Linked DNA regions of Drosophila melanogaster. The protein of the gene in region 1 interacts with the protein of each later gene in a biochemical or structural test. Each region holds a gene or a part of one and is shown in the gene's direction. Other genes may lie near its edges.

What was found. The genes of interacting proteins can lie anywhere in the genome.
Region 2: the proteins of Sema1a (region 1) and PlexA form a complex in vitro, tested with the Drosophila melanogaster proteins (2 studies listed by BioGRID).

Annotation. Positions count from the first base shown.
Region 1 is NT_033779.5:8,540,035-8,546,242, forward strand, and holds the start of Sema1a (semaphorin 1a), read left to right. Parts: upstream 1-2,112; 5' UTR 2,113-2,178; intron 2,179-3,178; exon of another isoform or gene 3,179-3,681; intron 3,682-4,509; 5' UTR 4,510-5,199; intron 5,200-6,208. Other genes in the region: CG17834 (uncharacterized protein), read left to right, coding at 424-1,202. UniProt on the Drosophila melanogaster protein: Involved in growth cone guidance through its role in axonal repulsion. Function in neurons is essential for adult survival, motor neuron survival, and is important for climbing behavior and activity.
Region 2 is NC_004353.4:1,022,960-1,029,371, reverse strand, and holds the start of PlexA (plexin A), read left to right. Parts: upstream 1-2,270; 5' UTR 2,271-2,409; exon of another isoform or gene 2,410-2,602; intron 2,603-2,836; exon of another isoform or gene 2,837-3,156; intron 3,157-5,691; 5' UTR 5,692-5,900; coding exon 5,901-6,412. Other genes in the region: mitochondrial inner membrane protein MPV17, read left to right, coding at 123-629.

The DNA of each region.
Region 1 (6,208 bases):
TTAAATGCATCTTACCCAATTGCTTGGGTATTTGTTGTCAAATGAAATTAAATTTATAAATCTTAAGAGTACAGAAATATTAAGTCAAAAGAAGGCAAGACTAATAATCTATTAAATTTACTATAAAACTTAACTAGTAAGTTCCGCCTCTAAAATTTCCATTTTAGCCAAAGTCGAGGGCTAGTTATTATCTGCACATATCTTTCCTATCTGCCATGAACTCAACCGTTATCTTGTTTGCCAACCTTTTATGCGTCTTACAATGGCATCTACTTTTCCAACTCTTCCAAAGATAATATTGTCCTCTCTGGCAGCTGGCTAATTAGGGTACAATGAAATCAGGACAATATCTCTAAATAATATGGGTTTAGTTACTTGCAAATGCAGAACACTTTTTAAACGGAGTATATCTTCTTTTTGCAGGAGATGCCACTGATGCGAGAACAGGATCGACCGAGAAGCGAATCACCTTCACCCTGGCTCCCAGTTCGGCCGAATGCTCGCCGTCGGGTAGCCAAACGACACTTACTCCCAAAAAGTTCGAGGCCATTGCCGAGGAGGAGAAGGAGGACGACAAGGCCGATGAGGAGGAGGAGATCATGGAGGAGGTGGTGCTGCGACCTCGCCTCATCGACCGGCATCCTCATCTGCTGGCCAACCCCAGTGGACTGACGACCACGCCCAAACGGATCCTGCGATCCGCCAAGAGCGTTCCGCACATGAATGTCCGTTCGTCGGCCAGTGAGACGGATATATTCTCCATTAGCGGTACGATGACCGGAAGCAGTCAGATCAGCATGACGCCGGAGGTGCCATCGATATCGTTCAGTAATCTGCCTAAGAACTACGAGGACACGCCCACTATTGAGAAGTACCGGGTATCGCAGAGTCTCTATTCCATTCAAACGGCGAATGCTGCTCGGGCCACACAGGATGATTACTCCATGCCGCGCTACTTCCGTCGATCTGCCATGCTATTGACCCAGAGCTCTGAGGTGCTGCCCGGCGCCAGTTCACTGGCCTCCATGTCGCCATCGATGGCCTCGTCCTCTGCCTCGCCCGGGTCCTCCAAGGACGAACTGCGACGGCCAGAGAAGGAGAAGAGCAAACGACTCCAGATGCTGCGTGGCAATCTACCGCCCTTACTTATTCATTCCGTGTCCTTCAAACGAAATCGCGACGAGGGCAAGCAGGTTGACTAGTCGCACTGCAGATATACATATTTATTTGTTAATCACTTTGTCCATGTTTTTAATGTTTTAAATTTATTAGCCTTTAGTACCTGCTTATGCGTTTTCTGTATTATCTTCTAAGCAATGACCTTGTCCAAACAATTCCTCAGTATTCAGATGTACTTCATTTTGAATTAATGATTGATATTACAAAATAAATTGTATTTTACCACAAAAAACAGCGATTAAAGATCCTACTTAATAAATCTTTATAAAAATCTAAACGATATCTATTTGTACCATTTTAAAAGAAATAAATGCGAGCTTGAAAAAAAATGCACTTATCTCCCCGACGGGGAATTGAACCCCGGTCTCCCGCGTGACAGGCGGGGATACTAACCACTATACTATCGAGGATGTTATACAAAGTGAGTCAAACTCGGGTTTTCCGTTTGCGGAGTGTGAATGCTTGTTTCAATTTCATCTGTTCCCCATTTGTACTCTGAAGACAGTGTGCAAGCTCGAGACGGTTGTTTGACAGTGGGTAGACAACATCCTCGATAGTATAGTGGTTAGTATCCCCGCCTGTCACGCGGGAGACCGGGGTTCAATTCCCCGTCGGGGAGAGATGTAAAAATTACTTTTTGTTGATTGTTTTAATTTATTAATTTAATTTTTTAATTTTTTAATTTCAAAATTTAAGTAATGCAATACATGTTTCAGACCAACAAATTAAAATAAAAAATTGCACCATATAGCTTAAAAAAACGTCAAACATGTATATTTAATTAGGTCATCCTGGAAGTGATATATAATGAAACACATTTCAACGGGTATATAAGTTTTGTTAAGGGGTAACTGTAAGCCGGACCCATTTAGCTTACCACCCAATATGGTAGCACTGGCTGTAGAAATTCCCAATGGCAACGCTAGTCGACCAGTTTTCATTCGTATTGGCGTGTGTGTTGTTTGTACAACAAAACATTCTAGTTGTTTTATTTGCAAGGTGCTCATATAAAAACATAAACAATATATTTCGTAGAGTGCCCTAATAATTTATTAAGTTGTGAATTAAACAAATATGAATAAGAAGCGTGTCCAAGTGAATTGGTTAAATTGTAAATTATAAATAAAGCAATACATATAAACGGCCGGCAAAACAGAGAGCGCGTTTTAAGAGAGAACCTAATAGGAAAAGAGTGTAGAGCTGCCAGGTTTCAATTAGGTACCAGGTACCAAACGTATTTATTATTCGAGAAGAACTATTTTTGGTGACTAAATATGGTTTCTGATTATAGAAGTGTTCTCCTAATATATAATTTTTAAAAATTTTTTTCTACACGTGCCCTCAGATTGTTGATATTCAAAATTCGTACACAAACGCCCTTGACAGGCGCAGTCTCACCCGCGCCCACTGAGAGCGGAACGACGGAAATTTCAAACATTATTTCTATTTTCTATTTGAATTGAAACTATGTATTTTCCATAATTTTCAAAATATTCTTGATTTTTTTTGAATAACTAAATTAATTATTTTAAGTATCGCGAGGGAGAATAAGAGTTTAAAGCGGCCGATTATATTGAGGGGGAGTTTCAGTCAACGAAAAGGAAATAGTGAGAGGAGAGGGCTTATTGAAGAGAGCCTCTCATTTTAAAATTTCTCTTTAAGCGTGTTCCTTCTAAAGGACACAAGAAACTAATATGTTTATGAAATAAGAAACTTAACCGTGTATGTGTTTTCCAATTTTGCGTGAACAAATAAAAGAGCTCAAGCATTTTATCGTTTGAGTAATTTTAGATAAAAATTTATTAATATTTTTTAATGTTTTCAATTTGCCATAGACAACATTTTTTCCAATAAAATTCGGTAATATAAATAACATGGTGTTATGGCCTGCAATTTTTATATAAATTTTTAGTAGCACGCTCTTAGTTTAATATTTAGGTCAATAAAATAATTATCCTTATTGTTTTTTTTTTTAATTTGCATATTGTTTGTTGACCAGCTGTTAAGAGAAGAGAGGAGAGAGAAAAAGAGAACCGAAAAAGTGACCGTTCGCGACTTCGCAGTCAGCGCTGGAAAACGCACTAACGCGCGGAAAATGCCCTAGCGCCAGAGAAAGTGCCATTTGAGACTGAACTCTCTTTCGTGCGAGTTCCCTTTTCATTCGAAAATTTAACGCCCGCGCTGCTGCAGCGCGTTGTTGCTCCGGTTGGAAAATATCTGAAAACAGCATTAATAAATAAACAAAAATATTGGATAAATCGCCGGTAGAAACGCTGCATAAAACGAAATTTGGTTTCTTGTAAAATATTATTTTTCAAGATATTTTCTTGTTAATTTCCGGATATTCGACAAGGATATAAATGTTTCTTTCGCGTTGATAAACAAATTCCAGCACCGCTACCTTTGTGTCGCGCAATTGTGAAAAGTGATTTGTCCATTGTGTACATTAATTAATAAATTGGTAATTGCTCAATTTAGAAACATGTGCAATCGAGAGCTAGTGTGAGTGTTTGTGTGCAACAATAATAAAGCCGAAAATTGCCCAATTGCAATTGGCAATCACAACAAAATTGGAATATTATGGCACATTAGAAAAAGAAAATAACGAAAACTGTGTTTCCACCCAAAGTTTAGGCCGCAGCAGAGCGAATCCACAAAAATATACAATTTCGGCAATTTTTCCACATATTTTTCATTGATTTTTCGCCATCCTGCGGGTGTGAGCAAGAGGGCGAGAGAGTTGAAAGGAGAGCCAGGCTTTTGTATTCTGTTTTGGGTACGTTTTGGGAATGAAACGGTCCTGGCTCTCGCTAACCCACCCTCCCTCTCTCTTTGGGATTATCCTTTTTATATTTTGTTTATTTCTCTATTTTCCTGGCCACGTTTTGTGCACCATTCGTTTCGCTGCATTTCATTCTCGCGGCGTTTCAAATTGACTCAGAGAGAGTGAGAGTAAGAGTGGGAGAGAGCAGCACTCTCTTATTCTTCTTCCTCAAACTCACGCACCCCCCGCATAATGTTTTTCGACTCTGCCTTGTGCCCCCCATTCGCATCTCTCCGCAGCGCGTTGCCAACCAAAAAAAGAAAACTAAAGTACTGTTGTCATAATAAGAAATTTATCAGGAAAAAAGTTGAATTACAAAGTGTTTCAATTGATATTTCTTGATCATTTCTTCATCAAATCGTGTTTCATATCGTAGCAAATATTAATTTTAATTCAAAAAGCCCTACATGCCAGATATTTGTGTTCAAGATAAGCTCTTCCTGCGGCCATAACTTTTGATTGGGAAACTGAAATCTAATCCAGTTTTCCTTCTCCCATTTCCACAGTATTTAAGCCAGAAACAAAGTGAATAAGGCAAATTTGAATAAAGAAAAAGAATAAACCAAGAAAATATGCTCAGAAATCGCATCCGTAGCCTACTTATCGCATGAAGAACCGGTACCGTTAAGGGATAATCGCCGTCGCGTTAATTCGACTCCTGCACCGCACCGCCCCGCCCCCCCGTTCGTCGTTTCGTCTATTCATATATCCGATATAACCGTTATCGCGCCCGTGCATCTGCGTCTGCATCTGTGTGCGTGAGTCCTTGTATCCTCTGTACATATGTACAATATTTGTCGTCGTCGTCGTCGTGCATCGTTGTTGTTGTTCTTGCTGTTATCCTATTATTCATCGTCGTCCGCTGGCATTAATCTGCGTATAAAGTAAATATAACAAATTTGTGTTCTTCGGTGTTGTCTCGTGTAAGTGTCTATAATTTGTTTAAGTACGACAAGCGATCGGTGCGAATCAAAAAATTCCAATTCACCAGTCTGTGTGTGCGAATCGATAATCGAGCTATCAGAACAACCACAACAACAACAACAGCCCAATCAATCGATCAATGTCAGCAAACAAACGATAAACAGGACTCGCTGGGACTAATCAATTGCGTAATCTTCAGAATATTTTGGATTCCAACGTCTACGGAGTTTCAACTTTTGAACAATTCATTTTGCTGGACAGTTTTTGGAAAGGTACGTTTAGAAATAAATATCTTATTAAATATAGTAAGAGCAATCCAAGTGTCGCATTTTTATAAACATAGTCATTTGGATTAAGATTAATCGCAGGAAATGGTGGAGTTAATTTTCTGGAAAATCAGAACGTATTTTATGCCAGATACATTGGGATGTTCGAAAATGCATTAACACTGGGTCTTGTTGCCTTCAGCTCCCAAAATTGTTGTTTTTTTTCAAGGGTTAAGTGGATGCACATCGGTCGTGCCGGGAAATATCTATATTTAGCGCACGTATTGTCCTTTGGCCACGTTCTAGGATAAGGAAGGACATACCTTGGTAGGGTCAGCAAAAGTCGTTCTCGATATTTGCGTACGCCACACACACGACTGCTTGAGTGCGAAGGGTGTGGGCATTGGACGAGACTCATTAGGACAAACCGAAAATGGTTGAAATGCACTTTTGCAGACAGATACGGAATATACCCTCGGACACACAGCAGGAGATATCGGAGCTCAGACAGAGATACAAAACGGAGCGATTTCCATTTGAAATGTAAACAAAGCACGCTGATACCCCGGCACAGTGGAGCAGATGATTGGACGGTCGGGAAAACAAAGGCGAACCAAACACTTAAGATACGGCTACAGTGGGAACCACAGAAAAGGGACACCGACAACAAGTGATTTGGAAATGTTGATAAAAATGTGGTAGCTATTAAGTAAAAACATAAAGATGCCAGTTTGAACAATTTCTTTGCCAAGTTCTTAGGTTGCATTTGAATAACTAAAACTTTATTTATTTTAATACCCAAAAGAGGGGTTTTTAAATTGGTTATCAGATCTTTTTATTTGTTTTGATAAATTTAAACTGGTACACTTCATATGAAGTATTTTTTATGTGCTCAATCCCTTAAGCGCCTACTCATTGACACGCAAGCTGAAAAAATTGAATATTCCACTCGGGAATCTGATTTAGTTCTGCTTCACCCGCATTTATGTCTGCATTACTTAACCGATTTCACAGC
Region 2 (6,412 bases), on another chromosome or scaffold:
CGATTATTAGGCAACCCTTTAAAACTACACGAACAACAGCAAATCGATTTCTCAGTTGTGTTTTAATTGCGTATTTAAAACAATTTGGATCGGGCTATGAATGGAACTGATCTCTGATAAGGATGAAGAGACTTAAAGCGTACCTAAAGGATGGCATCAATGTGGCGGCGGTAATGTGTCTGGGCGATACTATATCCCAGTTCTTTTTTGATAAGAAATCGTTGGACGAATGGGATGCGGGGCGAACCCTCCGTTTCGGCATCGTTGGACTGGTGTTCGTTGGCCCAACTTTGCGCCGGTGGTACCATTTTTTGGAGTCCCGGGTTCCCAAAACCTACTCGCCAATGCGGCGGGGCGTTACCAAAATGCTGGTCGACCAGACCCTTTTTGCGCCACCCTTTACCATGGCCATGTCTTTTTTGGTGCCACTCTCCAACGGAGAGCCCATCGACCGAATCCGGCAGCGCATTCTTGATAGCTACCTATCTATATTGGTCCGCAACTATATGCTCTGGCCGGCCGCACAGATGCTAAACTTCAGATTCGTGCCGCTGGGCTACCAGGTGCTCTACGCCCAGTTCATCGCCCTCGTATGGAACTGCTACCTCTCCATGATACTTAATAGCTAGGGCACTAAGTTCCCCGCATAAGTAATACGGTGCCTGTGTATCAAATTTAACAAATACATTATTATCCTTATCTCGACATGTGACTTCGGACTGGATTTGGTTGTCGTTTTTTTAGGGGTATTCGGCGGAAAGGCTGTACATATAGAATGGAATTTATAGTATACATGTATTATAGGCACTCGAGTTTTAATCCTACAAAGCACTTCAAAAAATTTTGCTTGAAATCTTATTTCCCTCCGTTATTAGTCGGTTGGGCATGTGCTTCTCAAAATATTTACTCGATCATTTAAATTTGAATTGGATAAGCAAGATTGTATCATAACGACGTCACGCCCAATCTAACGCCCACAATTTCTGTGGGCGTTGTGTTGTTATTTTGTTTTCATTTAATTATCTGTCATGATATTGACATACCACAAAAATTTTGCCACACCCAAACTGTTATGCCCACTCTTAAGAATTATTTTTCGATTTTATTTTATAAATTCTCTTGGCTGTTTCTATCGATTTGCCAAACGTATTTTAGCCACGCCCACTGTTCCCACTATCTGAATAACGGGTAAACCTTTTATTTCTGACATTTTAAGGCAGATTGTGGGAGGTAGGGTTAAACAACAAACGTTCTGCAACAATCTTGAAAAATGTGGCGTCACTTGAATCTACATGCTCTGAGCTCTCTAGAGTTCATAGTTCCGAAAATATCAATTCTCCATAAGTTTGTTCCTTTCTACATTTCTATTTTACGATTTAGGGGAATAAACTTTTGAAAAGTGCGTCAACGGTATCTTCTGACAGTTTCCCACAAGTTGTTGATATCCTGTTGTTTAACGTGAGATAGACGATTTATGGATAGAATTTACCTTAGTAGCGCCAAAAATACCGCAAACTGCGCACGCACGAAGCTGAGAATGTAAGCAGCCAATAGTGGAATACACTTCATGTGTACATGTGCAAATAAACACCCTGCAATTCAATTCATTTAACTTTTATCTATATGTCATTTCTTAGAAAAAATCTCTATTGCTAATCAGCCCTCAAAACAGTGAAATTATTGATTATTTTTTTTTCTTACTAACTAACTAAGTCTCTAACTACATGGTCATAACAACAATGCTTTAAATCAGATGTGTAAATATGCACATCTGCAGTCGGTGTCAGTTGAAGATATTTCAATAGGTCATAAAATGTGCACAAAGGCCAACAAAAAAAAGTTGTGCCATGAAATTTTAAATAACAAAATTATGCTTTGATACAGTTTGCGCACATATTTGCTGTGGATTGAGGAGCTGTTAGCATGAAATTCTTAAGTCCAATTTTTCAATTTACATTTTCATTGTGAACAGACCTTTATAGTCTCATCACACTATCGATATTAAAGAAAACGAATATATTAAATATATTTATTTCATTTTTTAATAATGCTCAAGGAAATTAGAGAGATAATAAATATTATCTGGCTTGGGAATCAAACCCCTTCCAAATTACTTTCGTACGAGTCATTACACAGTAACAACAAGACATTTTCCATGTACTCGTGAACATTACATTTTGAAGTGTGCCATCGGTTAATTTAGGTATCGATAGTGATAGGTATGAACGGGTCTTAGGACTAACAACTAGTTGTTTAATTCTCTCCTCTGCCTTATAGTATCGATAACATTTACATACAATGATGTGTAAATTAAAGTGTGGTGTAATTCGAAAATAGACAGAAATTATGTTCAGTGACTTGCGATGTAAAGAAATAATAGTTAATGAGTGAAATATAGGAAAACAAACAGTAAGCCGGATTTCCGATTGTTCACTAGAAAACTATCGCCGTTCCATAATTCAGATATACATACAAAATTGTCATTTTTTGCTAAATATTAAAAAAAGTGTAATAAAATCATTTAACGTTCCAGTGTATATTGCATTGCTTTAGAATTATTAAGAAAATACAAATTTTCTTTAACTGGTATACAACGTTGTATGTATGTAAAAATTAAAAACGGCCATGCAATCATTTTGTTTTATGTACTTAAGTATATATTATATTTATGTAAATAGTATTTTTAAAAAGTGTGGCTCTTATTTAAATACATTGTTAGCTGCGTTTCACACATACGAAATTAAATGCATCATGCATTGGGAAAGATAGCAGCAAAATAAAATTTGCTGTATATGATGTGCATGTGTATGCATATAAATATATACATTTTGTATAGATGTGTGTGCACCAGAATATCCCAAAAATTCCAAATGCAAAAGATCGAGTTTTACTTCTCTCAATAATCTTTGCCTAAAAACATTTAAACTAAGTGCACTTACATTTTACCGGTTTATTATATGTATTTAAATTCGGGCGCTGGCCAAATTTGTATGTATGTATGTGCAGTATGCATATATGCATTTGCAATGAAATTACCAAATATTGTGCACGCTCGCCCAAATTTGAAATCCTGGAATAGCCGTGAATATACTTTAAAACTACATAAATTCTCTATAACGAAATGGCTTGGAATAAGTGGCCTGAGTGCGAATATATGTAAGTGGAAAAAAATTGAACGTTTGGAACTGAATTTGTTCAAAGTTTTACAATTAATGTGTTAGGTAGAGGAAATTTTTTATTGCAAAAACGAGATATGCTTATATAGCATACATAGGAAACTCCTTAGCTTGGGATTTCCATTCCATTAATATTTATAGCATGATATGGATTCATGTTTAATATATATGTACAGTTGCGGTCAACATATTAGCGGCAGTAGCGGAATATATTTTGGTCGGTTATAGTCCTATTCGGAGACAGTAAATGGTAGAGCACGTTGGTTCATGAATTATGCTTTGGGTGAGATTTTCATATTAAGGAGTTGAGCCAGTATATCTGAAGCTCCATCTTCAGTTCCGTCACCGGGTTCTTGCTTTGCCGAACCAAGCGCTTGGATGCTTGGAGAGCATCCAAGTTGGACATTGAAGGCTTTCCTCGCCGCGTTTCGTTCTTTTCGACAAACAGCAGTGATTTGCGGATCATTTTGTTTGAACAACCGACAATGCGACCAATTTCAGCGTAGGTTTTACCTTCAGAGATCACGTTTTTAATCAAATTTCTTTTTTCGACGGTACAATGCTTTCCGTGACCCATGACTAGAGAATTTTTGGTCTTCGTTTGGAGCAAATTCAATTAAAACCTTTAATGCAACACCTTTTTTTCAAAATTTGTCGTAAAAAAAACCAAAGCAATCACTCCCATTAATTTTATTCAGCAAATACGTTTTCAGTGCTATTTTTGTTACCGCCTCATTTCGCGCACTTTTGCAGCAAGTGCCCAAAAACAAAAAGAACCGTTAAATTGAGAGACTAAAAATTTATTGCTCAAAGAGGCAACATATGGTACTTATTATTCATGCAATCTGGCTTAAAAAAAAAAAAATTTATAATTTTTTTTAGGATATCAATTTTCCACCTGCAGTAGTGCTATTATTTTAACCTTAACTGTAGTTTCAAAACTATTTGTACGACATCATTTTAAACTATGCGATAAACTACCCATGTTTCAGGGAAGTACACTTACAGCCAACCCACAGTTTTTGTTTTGACGTGATTAAATTTTTAAACTGAGTTTTTTTGGCTGTGAAGATTTTCAAAATTACGATTTATTGGGTGTTCACGAAATACATTTATAATCTATATGTAACAGCATTTCAATGTTTGGTGATCCACACAAATAGAATTCGAAAGAATACTATAGTCGAGTTCCCCGACTCAGATACCCGTAACTCAGCTAGTGTGAATGCGAACGCGAAATTGCTTTATTTTTCTGGGATATCAATATTAAGGAATAAAATGAGAAAAAATTTAAAATTTGTTTTAAAATGTGAGCGTGGCAGTTTTGCGCGGTTTTAGGGCGTTAGAGTGGGCGTGGCAACATAGGTTAACAAACTTTCGCTCCGTATTTGTCTTTAGAATCTGTATGCTGAATCTCAACCTTTTAGCTGATATATACAGCTGTGTTCATAAAAATAGCAGTGCTTGGGACTTGCGAGTTTAGGATAAAAAATCATATGATTTAAAGTTGTAATGGGAATTTTTTTCATAATTTTATTATTATATCAAACAATTCAACATATGTTTCACTTTTATTTTTTCAATAGATATAGATTAAAACAACATAATAGGCAGAAATTCTGGTGTTCACTGAAATAGCAGTGATATGAAAAAATAGTAACAACATGACTTAGAACTAACATAGTTTTTTTTTAATGTGTTAATTAGGGACTAATACCTGGTTGGATTGCCTTTTTTAGCCAGCACAGCCTTACACCTACTCGGCATGGAGTCCACGAGGACGTTTGGGGGAATTTTTGCCCATGCATCCTGCACAACTTGCCAAAGCTGAATCTTGGACATCGGGGAATTCTTCGACACGTATTGTTTAATGTCCCCCCACAGGTTTTCAATCGGGTTTAAATCGGATGATGGTGCTTGCCACGGCATTGCATCTATTCTATTTTGGGTGAACTTATTCTTAGCCGATTTGCTTCTGCGTTTCGGATCATTATCCTATTGGAATGTCCATTATAAGGGCATATTCCATTCAGCATATGGCAGTAAAACATCACTAGGTATATTTACATACCATTAATCATATGTATGGGACCCACACCGTTGTATGAAAAACAGGCCCATACCATATTTATGTCCACCGTGCTTAACATTCTTGAGTGTGTGGCTTGGGTTGTACTCGGTCTTTGGAGGTCGTTGGACATACTGTCGTGAACCAGTTCCAGTTCATATTTTTGACTCATCAGTCCAAAGGATATTAAGCCATTTGGAGACTGGACAGTTTCTGTAGGTTTTAGCGAAGTTTAACCTTGCGTTCATTCGTACATGGCCAGATCGACTCGGCTATTGATCCTGATCAAGAATATATTTTCTTTATATGGTCGGAAACGCCTACTTCTGCCAGTTAAATAATTATCAACGAATCTAGTATACCCTTTACTCTACGAGTAACGGGTATATATATATATATATATATATATATATATATATATAACTACTTTCCTTATTGTTTTTTCAGGTTTACATGATGGTCATACAAGTTATTGCTCCAAGTTAAATTATCTTGAATGGAACGGATAATAAAAATTGCAAGAATGACACCAACGCAAAGGAAATTTTAATATTTACGTAAAATTTCAAATAAATAAGGGACATACAAGCGCCTACAAGTAACAATTTCATAAATAAGGTAGCTTTGATAGTCCTGTTTAAGGAGCGATTGTGGAGATGAATTTTGTTCTTAGTGTGTTGTTAATAGCAATTCTTAAAGATAAGTATGATTACTGGCTGCCATCGAGGACAGGTTGTCAAACCCTGGCAGCAAATATATGGTCTGACAAGACGACTGCGCAAAATGAGCCGATAAATTTGACTAATGCAAATGCACCGATAAAGAATGCAAAGAATCTGAATTCTACGATTACAAATGTAGCTGCGTTTGACACCAAATTGAATCACCTATTAGTGGACACCATTACTGGACGAGTCTTCGTTGGTGGTGTTAACAGGTTGTATCAGTTGTCGCCTGATTTGGAGCTTTCCGAAACTGTGAAAACGGGGCCTCAAAATGATTCCGTCGAGTGTAGCATTCTTGATTGTCCATTAAATGCAGTTCGCAGTCCGACGGACAATTATAATAAGGTCTTGCTCATTGATCGTGCAACTTCAAGACTTATTGCGTGTGGATCACTATTTCAAGGTACATGCACAGTTCGTAATCTTCAAAATGTCAGCATAAT